Linked DNA regions of Macaca fascicularis. The protein of the gene in region 2 binds, or shares a complex with, the protein of the main gene of each other region. Links are inferred from orthologs where the notes say so. Each region holds a gene or a part of one and is shown on either strand. Other genes may lie near its edges.

Evidence for each region.
Region 1: TREX1 (region 2) and ANP32A share a complex: the UniProt entries of both Homo sapiens proteins name them as parts of the SET complex. The link is inferred for Macaca fascicularis from reciprocal best matches to the Homo sapiens genes TREX1 and ANP32A.
Region 3: TREX1 (region 2) and nucleoside diphosphate kinase A share a complex: the UniProt entries of both Homo sapiens proteins name them as parts of the SET complex. The link is inferred for Macaca fascicularis from reciprocal best matches to the Homo sapiens genes TREX1 and NME1.

Annotation. Positions count from the first base shown.
Region 1 is NC_088381.1:45,585,764-45,589,899, reverse strand, and holds the start of ANP32A (acidic leucine-rich nuclear phosphoprotein 32 family member A), read left to right. Parts: upstream 1-1,336; 5' UTR 1,337-1,480; coding exon 1,481-1,534; intron 1,535-4,136. UniProt on the Homo sapiens protein: Multifunctional protein that is involved in the regulation of many processes including tumor suppression, apoptosis, cell cycle progression or transcription. Promotes apoptosis by favouring the activation of caspase-9/CASP9 and allowing apoptosome formation.
Region 2 is NC_088376.1:111,432,523-111,435,850, reverse strand, and holds TREX1 (three-prime repair exonuclease 1), read right to left. Parts: upstream 2,052-3,328; 5' UTR 1,985-2,051; intron 1,667-1,984; 5' UTR 1,642-1,666; coding exon 697-1,641; 3' UTR 501-696; downstream 1-500. Other genes in the region: ATRIP (ATR-interacting protein), read right to left, coding at 2,744-2,811, 3,214-3,328. UniProt on the Homo sapiens protein: Major cellular 3'-to-5' DNA exonuclease which digests single-stranded DNA (ssDNA) and double-stranded DNA (dsDNA) with mismatched 3' termini. Prevents cell-intrinsic initiation of autoimmunity.
Region 3 is NC_088390.1:55,553,380-55,557,545, reverse strand, and holds the start of nucleoside diphosphate kinase A, read left to right. Parts: upstream 1-1,366; 5' UTR 1,367-1,420; exon of another isoform or gene 1,421-1,482; intron 1,483-3,385; 5' UTR 3,386-3,389; coding exon 3,390-3,515; intron 3,516-4,166. UniProt on the Homo sapiens protein: Major role in the synthesis of nucleoside triphosphates other than ATP. The ATP gamma phosphate is transferred to the NDP beta phosphate via a ping-pong mechanism, using a phosphorylated active-site intermediate.

The sequences.
Region 1 (4,136 bases), on a different chromosome or scaffold from region 2:
GAAAAATAAACACAATGTATCCGGAAAAACTATCTTGAGGTGTGTGGGGAAGAGTGCAGACATGTAGAAACAGACACTAAAATACAGTTGTGTGGAAAGGTAAGGATGTATCTGTCCTTGTTGACAACAATCCCCGTGGTTTATTAACAGCCACAGGCAGCCAACTTAGTGCCATAAGTCGGTAACCCAGTGGGCATCAGGGCTTTAGGGTCTCTTAAAACTTAATGTGATTCAAAAATACCCAAGGCAAGCACGCCGAAAAACCTGGAGAAAGTGCTCCAGTTAGAGCCTCCTTGGCAACCCAAACCGAACCAAATGACTCAGGTGGACGATTAGAATAAACCGTGCGCCGTTCTCTTTCACTAGGTCTATAAAGCCCATAAATTATGTTTCGTCCAGAAAACCAGGAGTTATGAGCACCTTCCTTTTCCACCTTTTAATATTCTGTATATCCAGCAACAGTTCTTAATCCATGGTCTTCATTCCTTTATTGCCTAAACAAGATCTTGGGTGTCTCCTGGTGATCACTTCTTCCAAGCTGACCTTATGTGACAGCAAACTGAAAAGCCTCTTCGTGGGAAGGGTCGCGACCGCGCGGTAAGTCATCCAAAAGTGGAAGCATCTTGCTTTTACTGACTTATGTATACGCGGGTGGCGACGGCGGCGGCCTGACCGGGACGAGGCCGGAGGGGAAGAGGGGCGCGGGCTGGGCGGCCGCGGCGGGGGTGACGGGGGCAGCCACGTTCCCCAGCGCTAGCCGCCGGACCCGGGACACGACGAGCCCCTCCCCGCATTGCACCCTGACCCCTCCCCTCCTTCCAGGCCTTTCATCTGCCCTCCCGCTGGGCAGCCCGCGGCCCCCAGACCTCAAGCCTCCCGCCTCCTTCCGCAACCCCGTCGCGCCGCCTCGCGAAGCCCTCAGCCGGGCGGGGACCCCGACCCGACCCCTCCGGCCGCGCCCCTCCCCCTCGTAGAACGCACCTGCGGCCCCGCCCCCGGCCGAACGCTGAGGCGGCGGCGGGCTGGCGAGGCCGGGCGGCTCGGCCCTCGAGGCACAGTCACCTTCCCTTCCCCCGCCATTCCGCCCACCCCCCTCACTCAGCCACAGAGCAGCCGCTGCGCTCCTCAGCCGCCCCGAAATCTAAAGGGGTCCGTCTCCGGCACCACAACCAAATGGCCGAGCCTCCCTGGCCGGCTGCGCAGCCCGCCCATTGGTCCCTTCCCCCCCCGCCGCCGCTGCCATTGGCTGTTGCCCGGAGACCCTCGGCGGCGATTGGCTCGGGCCGCTGCCGCTCGTCCGCGGGGCCGCAGATCCCGCCTCCACGGCGATCAGGTTAGTGTGCGCCGCGGGTGCTGGGGGCTCGAGAACCGAGCGGAGCTGGTTGAGCCTTCAAAGTCCTAAAACGCGCGGCCGTGGGTTCGGGGTTTATTGATTGAATTCCGCCGGCGCGGGAGCCTCTGCAGAGAGAGAGCGCGAGAGATGGAGATGGGCAGACGGATTCATTTAGAGCTGCGGAACAGGACGCCCTCTGATGTGAGCATTTGCCAAAAATATCTCTGTCGGTCCATTCTCCTACTTTGTGTGTGTGTGTGCGCGCTGGGGGGAGGCACTTTTTTTGGGGGGGGCGCCCGGGAGGTGCGGGTTTGGGGGTCGGACTGCAAGCGAATTGGCAAGGCTGGGGGGTTGCAATGCCATCCGAGCATGTTCCGGCTGCCGCCGCCGCTGCCCTTGGTGTGTGACTACCTGTGCGTGTGCTCCCGCGTGTGCGAGTGTGGGTGCGAGAGTGTGCGTGCGAGTGTGCACCCATCGGGGGCCGGCGGGCGCACGCGTTTGGGTCGGAGAGAATGAGGCGAAATCACCCTCGCAGATCGCTGCTCCCGTGACTCCGTCTGGGGGGAAGATTAACGAGGGAGGAGGAGGAGAGGGGCTGCCTCCTGAATTTAACAACAAAAAAAGGGGGTTTTACATTTTATAAATGTATCCCCCCTTCCGCCCCCCTCCCGCGCCTCCCCCCTCCCTTTCTCTCGCTCGCTCGCTCGCACACACAATAAGTTTGGGGCTTCGCGAGTCCGGTTTAGTTTCTGATAAATGTGGGCCGAGGGCCCCGGGGAGAGCGCGTGGGGAGGGGGCTGCAGCGGAGTTGGGAATGGCTGGAGTTTAAAGTGCGTCTTCATTTCTTTGCAGTGATGAGGCGAGAGACGGGGGAGCCATATTTGTAACTTTGTAGTGTTCGTGAACGCGCCCTTTCTCTCCCTCCCTCCCTTTCTCTGCCTCCCTTCCTCTCCTCCTCTTTCTCCCTCACTCTTTCCACCCCACCTTCGGGCCAGATGCTGATGTTTCTTCCTTTCCTTCCGAAGGGAGGATAAATTAGAAGGAGGGGGAGGGATTTTCGAACGTGCAAAGGCACAGATAATCCCCGCGCCTCCCTGCCTCCAGTGATCGCTGGTGCAAGTTGCCCAAAGGCTACGTCCCGGTCCCCCCTCGCCCCAGCTCCTTCCGGCCTCCCCAAGATGCCAGCCTTTGGGCCCTGGTGTCCCCCAGCTCGAACCCCCGGCCCGTCTTTCTCAGGGCTGGGCTCGTCGGCAGCCATTCGGCGCCTGCTTAATAAATGGGCACGGGAAACTTTGTCAGGACGCGAGCTGCCCGGAGCTGGCGCCGGTGGTGGGTACTGGCTGGGTCCACGTTTATGCGGGCATGGCAAACACGCAGCTCTAGGATGGGAGTTTGCCCGCTAGCCGCCGTTATTGATTGGGCAGCGGCGGGAGCACAGCCGGAGGAAACTTACACGGGTGGGAATCGCCAGGCTCGAGCGAAAGCCCACCCCCGAGGAGGGGGAAGGTGAGGGTGGGTGACTCGAACGCTGGTTTTTATTTCTGCCTCCCTCTCGCTTTCAAACCTGAGTGTTTTCGGCGAGTTGGCGGCTCTGGGGCGGAGACCCCGGCCAACTCCCCTCTTGGCCCCTCGAGGGGACCGGGGACGCGCTGGCGGGAGGACGCCCCCAGTCTCGGTGGCCCGAGCTCCACGGAGTTGGGAGTTTGGGCAGCACCGTGCGCTGGCCTGTCGCTCCTCCAGCCCGTTAAACCCGAATCCCCGCGAAGGCAGGCCTCGCTTCCTCTTTTCCCTAGTTCCTCCCCCCAAACCTGAGTGAGACTTTTGAAAACAAGATCCTTTTTGTCTACCCCCTCCCCGCCTTAACGCAGCTGTGGACTGGAGACGTGCGAGTGCCTTATGGCGCGCAGGGCGGGGAGGGGGCGGTCGCGGGAGAGTAGGGGGCGCCGCCGGAGGAGGCCGGAGTTTCCCCGCACTATTTGCCATTGGTTTGCTTCTCTCCGGCCGCTTTCGTCCTGGCCGGGACCCGGCGCCTTGCGTTTGGGGGCTGGGTGTGGTGATGGGGGAGGGGGTCGGGGCCGCGGTCTTCCCGCGTACTTTCCGGAAGCCCCCTGCGCGGAGGGGGAAGGGCGCCGAGCGCGGGGTCGGGGTCGCCGCGGGTGGGTGTGGGGGCGCGGCTGGCCTGGCGAACCCGACTGACGCTGCCGGCCCCCCGGGAGAGAGCCGGAAAGCGGGTCGAACCGGCTCTTTAAACTTCCCCGAGTGTGTGTGTGTGTTGGGGAGGGGAGCGCACCGCGCCGTTCTGGGAGCGATTTCTCACGCTTCGCCCCCTCGCCTCCCAGCCTCGCGGCCCACACGCCTGCCCCCTGCCTGGAGGCGGGGTGGGGCGCGGGTGGCGGAGGAGGGGGCACTTTCTGCACATTTGCGGGGGTGGGGGAGAAAGCTAGCGAAAGAGGGACAAAAGGGGTGGGGGAGGAGGAACTGTATTTTTTTAAACGTTCTTAAGACAAATGGCTCCCAGAGCGTGCCCCCTGCGCCCCTCCCCGCCGCGCTGCTCCCAGGCCCCCCACACACCCACCTTCGGCACCTCTCCCAACTGGGCTCCGGGAGCTGGTGGCCATGCCGCGACGCCGAAATAGGACGAGCAGCCATGTTTCCCGGGGCTCGCGCCGCACGCCCCGCCCCTCCTCCCCGGCGCGGGGCGCGGGGCTCGGAATGCGGGCTCCGGGCTCCATGCGGCGCGGGGCGCGGGCAGGCGGGCGGTGGGGGTGCAGTACGCGCGGGGCCGGCCTTGTGGCTTCCCGGG
Region 2 (3,328 bases):
CAGCACACTCAGGTCTCTTCCCTGCAGTGTTTTCATTTTATTTTAGCCAAACATTTTGCCTGTTTTCTGTTTTAAACATGATAGTTGATATGAGACTGAAACCCCAGGATAGTGGAGGGAAATTGGCTCAGAGGAGACGGACAACCTGGCAACTGTGAGTCCCTGCTTTCCCTGACACCAGCCTCATGGAATATGCAACTCTGGTACCCCAGTCCAGGGTGTTCTGGCAGCAGGGACACCTGGGCCAAGGGGCCATCTGGACCAAAGGTGGGGTGTGGGGCCCTGGATGGCAGCTCTGGCCCAGACATGAATACCTCGGTGTTCCTCCTCCATTACTGTTTCACCAGAGCTGTCTTAGCTTCGAATCTGTTGTGTTTCTGAGTCTGGGGTCTATACTCTTGTTTATAATAAATGCAATCGTTTGGAGCTGCTGCCCCCTTTCTTCCTGGCTGCTGGGATTGGGATCAGGCTGTACTGTTTCCATCAACCATTCGGGCTTCTCGTGTTTTCCCTACTTTTATTGAGCTCAGATAGTTGATCATCCTGCTAGGGAAAGTGAGGGACAAACACTATGCCCTCCTCCCCAGGTCCCTGAGTGTGGGCAGAGGTCTGGACTGCCAAGAAGGGTAGGAGCCAAGTGACCACTCAGTGCTGGAGGAGGGGGGGGTCTTTATTCTTCAGATTTTCCTTCTTGGCCTACTCCCCAGGTGCAGCCAGGGATAGTCCATACAGTGTGGCCACTGCCAAGGTCAGGACGGCCAGTAGACCCAGTGGTGCCAGCAGCCCCTCCCTGGGTAGGGCTCCAGGGTCCTTCATTGGAGGAAGATCCTTGGGTCTCCTTCTCTCTCCAAGGCTGGGACTAGTGTTCCTGGTTGTGGCCAGGTGTGCAGGGGCTGTGACAGCAGATGGTCTTGGCTTGGTCCCAGCAGAGGCTGTGACCCCATACATGGGCCTGATGGTGCTGAAGGGCCTGGCGTGAGCATCTACCCACCGCAGCAGGGCCTGTGGTCTCCACTGACAGATGCTGAGCAGGGCCAGGACATCACCCTCAGCCGTGTGCGAGTCCGGAGGGGACTGCCCATACAGGCGTGTGTAGATGCTGCCTAGGCTGTAGCTCTTCCTTGGGCCGTGTTCTGAGGGGCTGTCTGCTCGCTCCACGGCCTTCAGCGCAGTGATGCTATCCACACAGAAGGCACCATCCAGAGCACTGGTGAGGCCCAGCATAGCCAGCTCTGCTTGGAGCAGGGGGAAGTCATAGCGGTCACCATTGTGTGCCACCAGGCACCAGGGCTGTGGCTGGCGCCGCAGGAAGGCTAGGAGCAGGTTGGCCAGGTTGTCATCGAAACATTGACGCCCATGCGCTGCCAGCACAGCTGTGCTCAGACCTGTGATCTCGCTGGCTGCAGAGCTGCAGGCTTTTCCCGGAGCCACGCACAGGGAGAGCTTGTCCACCACACGCGGTGGTGGAGGAACTGTGGGAGGTGGTCCCTGAGAGGTGGGGGGGCTCTCCAGGGCACATCTGTGGACAGCCAGCAGGCACAGCTCCGTGACCTTGGGCTGGGAGAAGGGCAAGCCAGTGGCCTCCATGTCGAAAAAGATGAGGGTCTGCATGGGCCCCGGGGGCAGGGCCTGCGAGCCCATGGTTGGGTAGGACCTGCCGCTGAGCCTGGGGAGGAGCATAGGGTGGGTGTGTGAGTGCCCAGTGTTAAGATCCGAAGGGGAGGGAGTGGGGTAGGGGGTGGGCAGAAGCACATCTCAGGCCTTCCCTGCACAATCCTGCCCTGTCTGTGAGCTCCAGGGCCCATTTTCAGGCAGGAAGTTGGAGAGGGTGGGGTGGTTTCCTTAGTGGGACCAGCACATTCGACTGTCTGAGAGGGCTCCCTCTTCACATGACTTGGCCCCTCCCCTAGTGCCCCCTTAGTCTGGGGTCGGGGAACCCATGGCCCTCCTGCCCTGCGCCATCCCCTTGGGGAGCCACACTTACCGTAGCAGGCAGGCAGGCAGGCAGTAGTGACTTTGCTGCACACTCTCCCGCGGCTCTCGCTGGCAGCAGTGGCGGGAAGTGAAACTTGGTATGGGCCCGCCTACAGCCCCACGTGAGCCAGGCCCGCCCTGCTCGTCAGCCTGCCTGGTCTGTCCCTCTCGCCAACATCCGTCCCCCCACCCCCACTTCCCCGCCCCCAGGGGACCCCAGAGGCCTTCTGAGATCCACGGCTGTGGCCTGATGGTGGCACAATGCACCGGGCCATCACACCAATGACAGGCAGCTGGAAGGACCAGGGCAGTGGCGCCAGACCAGCTCCCGGTGTTACACACTGCTGGGAGCTCCTGCTGCAGCCCTTTCGTGCCCACCTGTGGGTCCCACTTTTCCAGGCTTTCCTGGTTTAGGCCTGGGCCAAGAGCCACCTCCTTCCCTGCCACACAATGGTTTCTTCCCATGGCCCCAGCCCAAAGCAATGACTCAGGACAATTCCACAGGCAAGGCAGGGCTCCTTCCTCAAGGCAGATCGGTTACCATGGGGACTGGGGCTCAGCAGCAGCCAGGGACAGGAAGAAGGATCCCAGCCACTCAAGGTCCCGTCCCGGTCCCGCTCCACCCCTCCCACTCCGCCAAAGAGATTAGACTCAGGAAACAAGGCCAGCCGGTTCTCTGGGCAGTTCCTGCTGGTCACTGCTTTAATCAGTTGATGTGGTAAGGAAAGGAATGGTGCTGGTGCCACCATGTGGCTGGACACTCAGGGCCTCAGCCACACTCCAACTCGGGGTCGTCCACATCGGTTTCCGCGGCACAGAGGTCATCCAGGGCTGCCTCTGAGACAAAAAGGAGAGGTTCTTGGTGAGGGCCCAAAGGTGCCAGGGCCTAGGGCGGGTCCCACCTCTCCTCCCCCAACGCCCGCAGGAACTAACCAGTCCCTTCCAGACCCAGGCCTTGCTCCCTCAGCTACTGCAAACAAAGTGATACAAAAGCAATTCAGACACAGGTATTTCTGGAAAAACTGTGGCTCTGCCAGGCACATTCAACAGATAGGAGCAAAAGGCAGCCCAATATGCTTGGAGAAGAACTGGGGCAGAAGATAAAAGAAAATGACCCCAGTGCCGGAACAGGCTGTAATGGGCAGGGGCCTGCTGAGGGGATGCCCAGGAATATGAGTTGTTGGGGAACCTCAGGGAGAAGCCGTGGGGGCTGGGCGGGAGGGCCTCTGGCAGGCTCACCTTCACAGTCGGTCACGTCAGGAAGCCCGCGGATGAGCATGCTGACCCCCGGCATCACCTGGTCATACTGATGCAGGACCTCCACGCAGTGCATTATGAAGAGCTTGTCCTTCTG
Region 3 (4,166 bases), on a different chromosome or scaffold from region 2:
ATTTTACTTATTTTATTTTATTTATTTTTTAGAGACCGAGTCTCGCTCTGTCACCCAGGCTGGAGTGCCCTGGCGCAATCTCGACTCACTGCAACCTCTGCCTCCCGGGTTCAAGCGATTCTCCTGCCTCAGCCTCCCGAGTAGCTGGGACTACAGGCGCCTGCAACCACGCCCTGCTAATTTTTGTGTTTTTAGTAGAGACGAGGTTTCACCATGTTGCCCAGGCTGGTCTCGAATTCCTGAGCTCAAGTGATCCTCCCGCCGCCGCTTCCCAATGTGCTGGGATTACGGGCGTGAGCCACCGTGCTAGGCCAAAAAAGTTTTAAATTTCAGTACGTTCCAATTTATCAACTTTTTCCTTTTATAGATTGGTCTTTTGGTGTCGTCTAAAAACTATTTGCCTGGCCCTAGGTCCTGAGAATTTTTTTTAACTCTTTTTTTTTCCCCATCAGTGATTTATTGTTTTATGTTTAAATCTATGGTTCATTTTGAGTGAATTTTGTATAAGGTGTGAGGTTTAGGTTGAGGTTCTTTGGGTCTATATTTGTCCAATTTACCCAGCATCATTTGTTGAAAAGGCTCCTGATTCCATTTTTGTACCTCTCCCCTGAGAGCAGTGGGAATGTTTTTTTGAAAAAGTATGTCAGTGATGATGTGATGCCTTGTGCAAAATCCGTATTGGCATCTCACAGCGTAAGATTTGGCTCTATTCTAACGGCATTTTCTACCACTCGATATCCACTGTAATACTTGGCTCTCAGGGAATCACTGGGCTGGCTCGCTCACTTCATGCAGGTCCATTCTATTATCACTTCCTCAGAGATTTCTCTGGCCTTTTCTTCACAGCACTTACATAATGAGATCTATTACATATTAATTTGCTTATCTGTTTCTTGTTTTCCTATACTCCTGTCCCTCCCAGAAGCTCCAAGAAAGCATACTGTTGTATCCCTAGGGCCTAGAATAATGCGTCCACATAGTAGGTATTCAATAAAATCTTTTGCTTGACAGGTTAGAAAAGGTGAATAAACACAAAGCGGGAGCGAAAAGTTTACTTCTAGGTCAGGCGCTTTTTGGACGTCATGCAAAGTGTGAGCGCCACCTCTCGGGAAGCCAATTTGCTCGCGAACAAAGGAAGTGAGTCAGAGAACCCGGGGGTGGAGGGAAGAAAGCAAGCAGCTAACCGGAAAGGTCTGAAAAAGCTGGCGCCGGAAGTTAAACAGCAGAAAGTTGTTCCCTAGAATGACTGCCTACTCCCAAGAGGAAGCGTGGGCGAGCGGTGTTCTGCAAAATGGGCTCTCCGGCAGCGGATCTGCGCGGAAGCGTTCCGTGCGTGCGAGTGCTGCGAACCACGTGGGTCCCCGGCGCGTTTCGGGTTCCGGCGGCTGCAGCCGGAGTTCAAGACTAACCAGCTGGAAGGGTAAGAGGTGTTCGGGATCCTGAGAGGGAAAGGAAAGGAGTGTAGTCGCCGGAGAGAGTTAGGTGAGGAGTTAGTGAAGAGGTCAGTTCAGCTCTAAGAGGCGGCGAGGAGGATCGGATGGGAGGAGGGGCAGGGAGCGCCTGTGGACAAGTGCAGACCGGTCGGCGCACATCCCATGCCACATGGACTCTCCTTTGTCGGTGGCCGCCTTTCTCGTCAGGCCGCGACGACAGGGCTGTGCCTTATTTGCCTCTGTCGAGAGCAGTGCCGGGAACGGAGTTGGCGTTCTATAAGGCCTTGCTGAATAAATGACGGGCGTGTGTGTCATTCATTCAGCAAGGACTGAGTGCTTACTGTTGTGTCACCGGGATCGATGTGGAGGGACATTTTTAGGATCTATTTCTGGCACTTTAGTCCTGTTTTCTCCTGGACAATATTCTTGCCCCGCACCCCATCGGGCGATTCTCCGCAGTCTTTGGGCTTTGTCTCTTTTTTTTTTGGAAGTTGCAGAGTGATGATAAATGATTTTCTTTGCTCTTATTGACTGCTAGGCCCTGTGGCTAGGTACCATAGACCTACACAGGAGTAAATCAGCCTGGTATGCAGGCCAGAGACCGGTGGGGAGGCAGACACACAAACAGAAAGTTGGGCTACGGTGCTAAGATGCTGTAAGAAGAGGTTAACTAAAGGACAGGAAGGTGGGGCCAATAGGTGGAGCTGCTGTGTACATCAGAGATTGTCTTTCAAGGCGAGGGGCTTCCCATCTCAAGATGTGATACAGGGTACATCATGAGCCAGTATTCTGTAAAATGAGGGATCTGGACAGAATAGGTACTCTCTAGGCTTCCTTTCAGTATGATGTCCCGTATCAGGTATTCCTAATGTCTGTAGCTCTCCCACACCCCACCGTTTATTGGCTAGTCAAAATATTCTTTGCATTGTAAAGTGTAGCATACATTACAAGAATGGATTAATGGGTTGGGAATGCTGGGTTTTGGCCTTCATTCTGGTGCTCTGGTCCTGTTTCCTCATTTGTAAAACGAAGGGGGTTGTAAAGATATATTCTCTAAAACCCCTAATGCTATGGATGTGACATTAAGTCAAACTATTATTTCTTACTGCTTTGTGCCAGACATCACTTTCACATTAGTAAAACTTTGTATCAGTGTAGTTTCTCCCAAGCTTGATTACTGAGAAAGATAGTTTTTACCTCCTGTATCCTAGTTCCACCACAGTGTTTGGTACACAGTAGATGCTTAAAAGAAGCTTATTACATCAAATGGTGGCCAGGCACGGGGCTCATGCCTGTAGTCCCAGCACTTTGGGGGGCTGAGGCCGGTGGATTACTTGAGGTCAGGAGTTGGAGACCAGCCTGGCCAACATAGTGAAACCCCATCTCTACTAAAAAAAAAAAAATACAAAAATTAGCTGGGCGTGGTGGCACGCGCCTGTAGTCCCAGCTATTCAGGAGGTTGAGGTAGGAGAATAGCTTGCCTGGGAAGTGGAGGTTGCAGTGAGCCGAGGTCGCGCCACTGCATTCCATCCTGGGCGACAGAGCAAGACCCCATACCAAAAAAAAAAAAAAGGGGCTGGGCGCGGTGGCTTATGGCCATAATCCCAGCACTTTGGTAGGCTGAGGTGGGTGGATCAGTTGAGGACAGGAGTTTGAGACCAGCCTGGGCAACATGGCGAAACCCCATCTCTAAAAAAACCACAAAAACCAAAACAAAAATAAAATAAATCAAATGGGATAGAAATTATAGTCCTTGCTTTTGGATCCTTTCCCACATTGACATATTTGTTCATAGATGAGGGGACTGGGGAGGAACTGGGTTTTTAGCAGAGGGAGACCTGCAGCTGACCTGACAGATTTGAACCAGCTTTATGGGATAATCCGCTTGAGGAGGATGACGATGTAGGCAAGTGATTCAGCGCCGTTTCATTCCTCTACCTGCCTATCCCCAGGACCATGGCCAACTGTGAGCGGACCTTCATTGCCATCAAACCAGATGGGGTCCAGCGGGGTCTTGTCGGAGAGATTATCAAGCGTTTTGAGCAGAAAGGATTCCGCCTTGTTGGTCTGAAATTCATGCAAGTAAGTGGACTTCATTGTTCCCATTTTGATTTCTTCATAGTATGGGAGAACACTGTGATTAACCTGTTTCTCCCCGGCTTTCTTATTTAAACTTCTTCATGGTAGAGGGACAGAGTGGACACAAGTATCTAGAGACCTGGAAACACCTCAGTGCCCTAGCGTTTGGCTACGTTTAGGATTTTCCAAAATAGTCTCTGTAATATGAGGTGCATTGCTATGGGAAAAGCAGTGCAGAGTTCCACATATGACTGCATCTCTGTAATTTGTGACTCAGCTGAGCATGTTTGAGTTCTTGGTCTTGAGCTTCCTGAGCAGATAATTTTAGAGAGATTTTTTTCCCCCTTTGAGACAGGTTGTGTTTTTAGCAAGAAAATCTTCCATCAGCAATTACTAGACACCCATCAATGCTTATTGTCTAGCATTTATTAGGTACCATAGGAGCTTGTGGAGGAAAACTATGGTTTTGGTTTTGGGAAGGTTCTCCTGAAATAGCAGAGAGCAGATGTACCTGCAAGCTACTTACAAAGCAATCTTCTGATAAATGCAAGGGATTGATTGACCAGTAACCCCTCTTTAAACACATTCTAGAGATAAAAATTCAAATTCTTGGCTGGGCGAGGCACAGTGGCTCATGCCTGTAATCCCAGCACT